Linked DNA regions of Danio rerio. The protein of the gene in region 2 purifies or fractionates together with the protein of the main gene of each other region. This does not show direct contact. Links are inferred from orthologs where the notes say so. Each region holds a gene or a part of one and is shown on either strand. Other genes may lie near its edges.

Region 1 (4,346 bases), on a different chromosome or scaffold from region 2:
TGCTGCTTCCCCTGCTGGGACTCGTCCTTCTTCTTCAGGTAGGGCTCGATGGATTTATACTGGGCGTAGAAGTTGCTCATGTCCTGCAGGGGGCAGAGCGGTGTGTTATTAACCAGGATTACTCTGCTCAGGGGTCTTATTGCTCAATAATACTGACGATGAAGAAACTCGGGTCAGAAACGTGTGTTATTGTACTCACGGGCACCAGGTCCTTCACCACATACATGTGCGGCAGCGGGTAGATCTTGGTCACCTTGCTGGTGTTGGTGTCGATCTTATTCAAACACGCCAATGTGTTTCCACCGTTGATGTTCATAGCACACGAGCCACAGATGCCTGAGGAGCACAACACACGCTGATCAGAGCGACACACTCCAACACTGCTTACTTACACACACACACACACACACACTTGAACACTGCTTACTTACACACACACACACACACACACACACACACACACTCCAACACTGCTTACACACACACACACACACACACACACACTCACACTCCAACACTGCTTACACACACACACACACTAACACTCACACACACACACACTCACACTCCAACACTGCTTACTTACACACACACACACACTCACACTCCAACACTGCTTACACACACACACACACACACACACTCACACTCCAACACTGCTTACTTACACACACACACACACAAACACTCACACACACACACTCGAACGCTGCTTACCCTCTCTGCAGGAGCGCCGGAAGGTCAGTGTGCTGTCCATCTCATTCTTGATCTTGATGAGTGCGTCCAGAACCATCGGCCCACACCTAACAGACACACACTACAGTAACTACAGACACTCAGACTCAAACCACAGACCCTCAGATTCAGACTCTCAGACTCAGGGTGCTTTCAGACCTAAACGTGTCTCGATTGCCCAGTTAGCGCGGTTCGTTTGGCATATGTGAACAGGGCAATCGCGCTCTGTTCCGCGCCAAAGTAATCGCTCTGAGATCGCTTGAGTGAGGTGGTCTCGGCTCGATTGAAACGAACCCTGGAGCGGATCGATTGCAGTGAGAAAGTGATTCGATCTGAGCGCGGTTATATCACAGTGTTTTATGGATATGTAATAGGCTTACGGCTATATGAAGAGAGAATTATGAGTATGGCGGGAAGTTTCGCGAGTCTCCGGATGCCCGCAAACGAGTGATGATCTCCCGGTAATCTCGCTTCTCCCTCCCAGTCCTCAAATAGGCATCGTCGCGCACCCTTCTCACCCTCCCCACCGCATCTCTCCTCAGACACATCGCGTGCACCCTGTCAATCACCACCAAACCACCACCTCTCCTGACAGCTGAGCGGGACGCTGCAAAATAAACCCTGACACTCTGACCAATGTGAGGAGAGTTTACTCACACGTGACTTGTTTTAGCTCTTTTGGAAAGAAACTTTGCAGTGTGAAAGCGAACCGCTCCAAGAGCAAAGAGCAACACTGTAACAATTATAATCTCTGTTTCAGAACAACTGAATCCATTCACAGGTGTGAACGCAGCCTCAGACTCAGACACTCCTGAACAGACGCCTGCAGCTCCACTCACGTGTTCAGGTCGATCTCGTATGTCTGCATGCGAGGTTTGTCTCCGACTGTGTCTGGATCCCAGCGATAAATCTGGAACTTCTTGATCCTGGGCTGAGCTGCAGGAGCTGCTGCTGTCTGCGCGAACCGCACCGCCTGAAACACACAGACACACACACACACACACACACACACACAGAGAGAGCTTCAGACTCCACTTCTTCTGGTTTAACAGCGAGTTCTGGCCCAAACCATGTTCTACCCCCATGATAAGAGCGTGTATTCTGCTTCTCCATAATGTTGGATGTGGATTGGCATGTCCTCCTCATACACATGTAAACAGCTTTATCCTTGTCTTGTTTCTCTCTTTGAGCTAGCAGGATTTGAACGCGGGTAACATAAGACAGTCCAGTGATGTCGTTTCGAACATGTTTAATAACAACTTAACTGAACTACATTACACGCTCAAAAAACTGTCTCGCTTCCATCTCCATGACACAACTTCTTCCTTCCCGGAAGTGACATCAGCATATACTTAATATTAAAAATTAAATTACTTTTAGGAAAATATTTTGCTTTTTACATTATTGTCAATTTAACATAAATAAAACAATGAACTTACGGCTCTTATAATCCTCTTCCATTTAGGCTGTTAACTCTTATAATAGTGTTGACCTTCATGACATAAGTCCCGATTGCAGAGGGAAATGGTCACACTGCTGACCTCTAGTGTTCACACACAGAATCACACTCTCGTTACATCACTGACCCAGCTGACAGTTACCAAACACACACTCAAAACCGCACACACACTCTGTCAGAACACTCAGATCAGCATCAGATCAGCTCTGGACACTGTACACCTTCACATTATAAACAGCAGCAGCACTGCAGTGTTCTGTGACATATACATGATGACACACACACACACACGCGCTCAGTCAGCGTTATATAAAGCAGATACTGTCATTCCTCCATCATAATGGCGCAGCACTTCACTATAAACACACTCATACACCGCATTATTCTCCGATATTTCCGCTCATCCGCGCCGGTGAGTTTGACGACAGTACTCGTAGAGCTGGACTTCGGCTTCTGTGTGTCAGTCACGTGTCATGATCGGTATCAGACGGGTTATTGATGAGCGGTGGTGATCGATTATCAGTGCAGATCAGGTGTGGAACTCACCGTGACGGCGGGCCGGTGAACAGCAGAGCAGCAGCGGCTCAAGGAGAAACACACAGCCGCCATGTTGATCAGTCTGACTCTCTGCTCCAACACTCACTGCGCATGCGCCTCAAATCACGCACTCCGCCGCCCACAGAGACTGCGCACTGCAGAGGGCGCTCACTACGCTTTTAAACACAGCCCACGAGTGATCCTGCGCTATATAAGCGCATATTTTATCTTATAATAATATAAATGTCGGCATTTCTGTCATTCGTTTACTACTAATGATAATAATCATAATAATAAGCGCTGTGTTTGTTTCCAACAACATGCGTGACAAATCTTCAGAAACATGATACAGTTTATTACAGGAAACCGTCATGTTCCTCTGTGGAGTTTAAAAGCCCAAATATAATGTTTTCATCTGCATGGCAAATCATCATCATTTTTATTATGCTTTAAACAACAGATACATGACAATACAGTAAACAAAAATGCCAAGGGGGTAGAAAGTCAATAATAACAGCACAAAAGGAGATCTTCATCATAAGCGTTTACTATAAACTTTTACTTTGTCACTCTGATGAGGCACGCATGCGCCGGATGTGACGTCGCGTCACCGGCGACTCCAGAAAGCGCACGAGAGATTGAGGTCACACATGAAGCGTCAGTTCACACACACTTGCTGAAACTCGGGGATCGATCACACTGATTGATCATCATGGTGTTCCTCACGCTCTCCTGCTGGATCCGGAACCGCGGACCCGACCGATACTGGAAGGTGCAGGAGCTGCTGAAGAACGCGCGGGTGAGTCTCTCTCTCTCTGTGTGTGTGTGTGTGTGTGTGTGTGTGTGTGTGTGTGTGTGTGTGTGTGTGTGTGTGTGTGTGTGTGTGTGTGTGTGTGTGTGTACCCCTGTTATATACTATAGTCATTTACAGAAAATACCTCAGTGTGTCTGAACACAACAGTTAAGTGTATTATACTGTATATGTTACCGACAGCCCTGTTAGTCAATGCTCCAGCAGACTGCAGTGTTCACTATAGGGAACTGATAAACACTGCAGTGTACTAGTGTTTACTGCAGTAAACTGTGGAGTATAGCAGTGTAATATACCCTACAGCTGTCGACAACTACACTACTGGATCATTTGTTTATATTATTATAGTTGTTGTGTTACCATAGCAACTGTAGAATCACCACAACAGATCAGTTACTATATTCGTCGTGTTACCATAGCAACTGTAGAATCACTACAACAGATCAGTCACTATAGTTGTGTTACCATAGCAACTGTAGAATCACCACAACAGATCAGTTACTATAGTTGTCGTGTTACCATAGCAACTGTAGAATCACCACAGCAGAGTAATTGGTCTGCTTTACTGTAGCGTGGTTGTAAGCGCTACAGTCTGCTCTGCGTATGGTTGTTATGGCGTGTGTGACTCTGTTGTGTTTCTGCAGCATTTCCGCGGCAGGAAGAGCCGCTGCTACAGTCTGGCGGTGCGTGCGGTGCGCAGGGCCTTCGTTTACGCCAGCAAAGCACGGAAAGCCAAGAGACGCAGCATGAGACAGGTATAACACACGACACACACCTGCCTGAGCTGCAGGGGGACAGACGTGT
Region 2 (4,324 bases):
TTTAAGTTGTACTTAATGATTAGTTTTGTTTAATGATCTCATAATGAGAGATTACATATATTGTTGAATTTTTAAAGATGTTTTTGTGACATTTCTATTGTGTTCGTAAATCAGTTCTGTTCTCTTGTTTTTCTTGAGCAATTATTGACATTTTTTAGCATAAGCTTAAAACTTATACAATGCTCAGCATAGTCGAGTATACCCCATTTCGAAAGTGAATAATTTTATCCATTTCTCAGTAAAATATAGGCATGTATTTTGGTGCATTTAAACAAAAAAGATTTATTAAACAGATATATTTATTAAAGTAATATTTTAGTTACCAAACATATTTAGAAATTAAAAGATAATACAATTAAATAAAAAAATACAACCTACAAAATTTCAACTAATCCTTTTAAATAATTTTGTTTTTGTTTTTCTTGTTTTTTCCTCTTTTTTAAATTTGTATTTAATATTTTTTTATAACATATACATTTGGGTGTACTAGTTTTTACGACGGTTATCATAAGTTATCCTGTTAGATAAGCTCAAGATTTGGTTCCAGTACTGGCTAATCTAATGTATATGCACAAATACAATATTGTATAGCTTCTTAATAAAAATATGAATTTAAAAAGTAGATTTGTGAGTGGGTGTACTTATATCTGCTGAGCACTACACTAGGCATGGGACAATAACAGTTTTCAAGGTATACCGCGGACTGAAAAAGTCAAGGTTTTAAAAAAACATTCATAAGGTATATGTGTAAGATTTTTTTTAATGTTTATTTGTTGTTTTTTAGGACAACAGTATCTCCAGCAGCAACGATATTCAAAGATGTCATTTTAAAAAGTGAAAAATCTGTGTTTTTGAAAGTAATAAAGACAGCAGAAGTCAATGAGTGATTTGAATTATTATCAAATTAAAATATATTGTGTTCAAAGGGGATAAAAGTTGTCATTTTTTTATACCCAGACATTTAAAAAGAACATATTTTAGAGAGGACTCACAATATCGTGAAACCATGATATTATTATCCAAGGTTATCATACCGTCAGAATCTTTTACCGGTCCATGCCTACTGTATACATAAAAAAGTATACAATTTAACATTATATTGAAACATCTGTTTATATTTTCCTAAAGAACTAACCACAGTTCTGTGTTATTGAATCAGAAAAATATCAATCAGTAAACGTATTTTTATATTTTAAATGAGAGAAATAAACATGTGTTATGAATGTGACCAAAAAAGTCTGCGAGTTTACAGTATAGAACATATTTTGTTGAAATTCTGTGAATTAAACCGCACAACCCAAAATAAATAATGCTAATCAAAAAGATAAGAGTTGGCTGCAAGAACAAACATTATTGATTTTGTTTTATTTTACATTTTTTTGTATTCATGAGAAAAAAAAACTTCGTTATGGATGTGACAGATGTGTAACTGCCACTTTTGTGATTATGGTAAATTAAATATAAATGTTTGAAAACACTGCCAGAGACATGTTTGAGTATTTTATTGTAAAATAAAAGCCTGCACAAAAAAAAAACGTAGAAAGGGTTTCGCTATTTTGGTGAAATTTATTTTTAATGCCAAGGTTGACAATTGCATGGAATTGCTCTCATTTTGTTAACTTCATTTTCAAATATAAAGATAAAAACATATCCAGGAAACTTTTTAGCAGTTTTGGTGCAAATTTTGGTGAGCGACAAATTGCACATATAGAGGTAAAGTTGGTTTTATATTCGCACATTCAGACTTTCCCCTTAATAATAAAATTTCTTTTAAGTATTATATGCAAACTCCAAACAGTGAAATTATATCAGCAGCCAATGACTATCAAAGTACAACATTGTTCACAGTGAAATAAACAGTCTTAATGTTGTTTTCAAATAATATTTGCATGCCAATTCCGATCGAATATTCAAAGTAACATGGTAAATAATATAGAGACTTCTAAATGAACGAATGTGTGAATGTAAAACCAACTTTACCTCTAGTTGGCACATGGCACTGTTCACACTTAATCAAATAAACTGTGATAATAAGTTTATTAGGTCTTAAATTAATAATTAATAGGTCTTTTAAAAACTAATTAATCAAACCAAAATCTACTAAGTTAGTATAAAAGTTCATTCACACTACAGGTGCTTTTCCCATTGGTCAATTTTGAAAATCTGATATCTTTCATAACATCTTTTTTTTTCACTAATAAACATATAAATATTTAAGTATTTTACACTTGATCTATTTGTATTGTATTGAGTGAAACAAATGATATTTTGTGGTATATGTGTTTATAGTTGAACATGACTGTAGATTTTAATTCAAGGAACTATCCGGAGAAAATCATTTTGGGCATAATAGGCCATTTCACTTCAATCAATATTCTGAAGTTTTTTCTTTTTACAAACAATTCCCCTGATTTATATAGCACTTATTTATTTGTTTTGACCTTTTTATGTGGAGTGATGAGAAACAAAGGAGACAAGAATTGTGAACCAAAAATTGCATTACCTAAAACATAATTTTTTTTTTAATTATAACCTTAATAATTCAAAATTTAGTAAAAACATGTTATATGTAGTCTCTCAATTATTATGATGAAGCACAATGATTAACGTTAGTAAACAATTCTGATGGCATGTCATGTCAACACCAAACACTCTTAGCACACTATACTTCACATACAAATAAACAAAGGTAGCTAACGTTAATAAACGACACTTTACCTTGTCAGTTACAGCGCTTAATTTCATTCATTCCTTGTCAGCTGTATATGTTTAAACTTAAAATAGAGGTCTTCTACACAACGACCGCAGCAGTCACAAAAATATGACCTGTGTTTCCTAACTCATGCTGTGACGTTATGAAATGCAGTAATAGTCAGATATACTGACATCTAGTGGTCAGGCTGAACAGCAACACAATCAACAAAGACCAGCCAAAGTTCAGAGTTTATCCTTTATTTAGATATAAATAGACTATAACAGCAGGCTATACCAAGTTATTAAAGTCTATGTTGCGACTGCAAAATACATATATTTTATATTTACTATTGGATTACAAAACAGACACGTTCACATTTTCAAGACATTAATAAGTCGAGTTTTTCAGTCAAATCTGTGTCGAGTCTAAAGTCCTTGTGTTCATTTTATTATAACAGTACATGCTACAGACTAACTTAATGCAGCATATTTAATATACAGTGCTCAGCATATATAAGTACATCCCCACAAATCTCTCATTTAAATGTATATTTTCTATAGGATGCTTTACAATATTATAATTGTGTGATTAGTCAGTACTGAAGCCAAATCTGAAGCTAATCTAACAAAATAACTTATAATTATGGTTCGAAAATTAGTAGCCAAATGTATATGTTAGAGAAAAATATTAAATTACATTTTTAAAAAATCAAGAAAAACAAAAAATAGAAAAGATTTAGTTGAAATGTTGTAGTCTGTACTTTTTTTTGCAATATTTTGCATAAATTTAAATATATTATCTTTCCATTTATAAATATGTTTTTTGACTAAAATAATAATATATATGTTTAATAAATTTGTTTATTCAAATACACATATATATAGTACCCATATTCACTGAGAAATGGATATTTATTTTAAAACATTCATGCTGAGCACTGTATGTTAATTGTGTATTGCTAAAGTGTTTTCCTGAACATTAACTAATGCTTATCTATAACATTTTGAATTAATGGTCCATAAGTGCTAAGGAGTCTAAAACATTTATTTAAAAAAACACAAATAATAATAATATAAAAAAATATTACTGCTTCAAATAAAAAAAGTTAAATTGGATTACAATAATCTAATAAATATAAAATATATAGATAAAATAAATAATAAATTAAGAAAATTTTTAAATCAACTATTGCTTAGAATAAAAAAAGGATTAAGGTAAATAAATAAACAATGTTCAAACAAATCAGTAAAATTAATATTTGAAAAAATTACTAAGTAAATAAATTTGTCCAAAAATGTATAAATACGACAACATGGTGGCATAGTGAGTAGCACATTCACCTCACAGCAAGAAGGTTGCAGGTTCGAGCCTCAGCTAGGTCAGTTGGCGTTTCTGCGTGGAGTTTGCATGTTCTCCTCGTGTTTGCATGGGTTCCCTCAGATGCTCCGGTTTTACCCACAAGTCCAAAAACATTTGATATAGGTGAATTGGGTAGGCTAAATTGTCCTTAGTGTATGTGTGTGAATGAGTGTGCATGGGTGTTTCCCAGTGATGGGTTGCGGCTGGAAGGGTATCCGCTGCAAAAAACATGTGCTGGATAAGTTGGCGGTTCATTCCGCTGTGGCGACC

What was found.
Region 1: the proteins of sdhaf1 (region 2) and sdhb purify together in Homo sapiens (co-immunoprecipitation; 3 studies listed by BioGRID and IntAct, with this or other methods). This does not show direct contact. The link is inferred for Danio rerio from reciprocal best matches to the Homo sapiens genes SDHAF1 and SDHB.

What each region holds. Positions count from the first base shown.
Region 1 is NC_133197.1:261,262-265,607, reverse strand, and holds the start of sdhb (succinate dehydrogenase [ubiquinone] iron-sulfur subunit, mitochondrial precursor), read right to left. Parts: upstream 2,816-4,346; 5' UTR 2,804-2,815; coding exon 2,741-2,803; intron 1,709-2,740; coding exon 1,575-1,708; intron 804-1,574; coding exon 718-803; intron 337-717; coding exon 200-336; intron 84-199; coding exon 1-83. UniProt on the Homo sapiens protein: Iron-sulfur protein (IP) subunit of the succinate dehydrogenase complex (mitochondrial respiratory chain complex II), responsible for transferring electrons from succinate to ubiquinone (coenzyme Q).
Region 2 is NC_133196.1:22,794,701-22,799,024, reverse strand, and holds the start of sdhaf1 (succinate dehydrogenase assembly factor 1, mitochondrial), read right to left. Parts: upstream 2,858-4,324; 5' UTR 2,719-2,857; intron 1-2,718.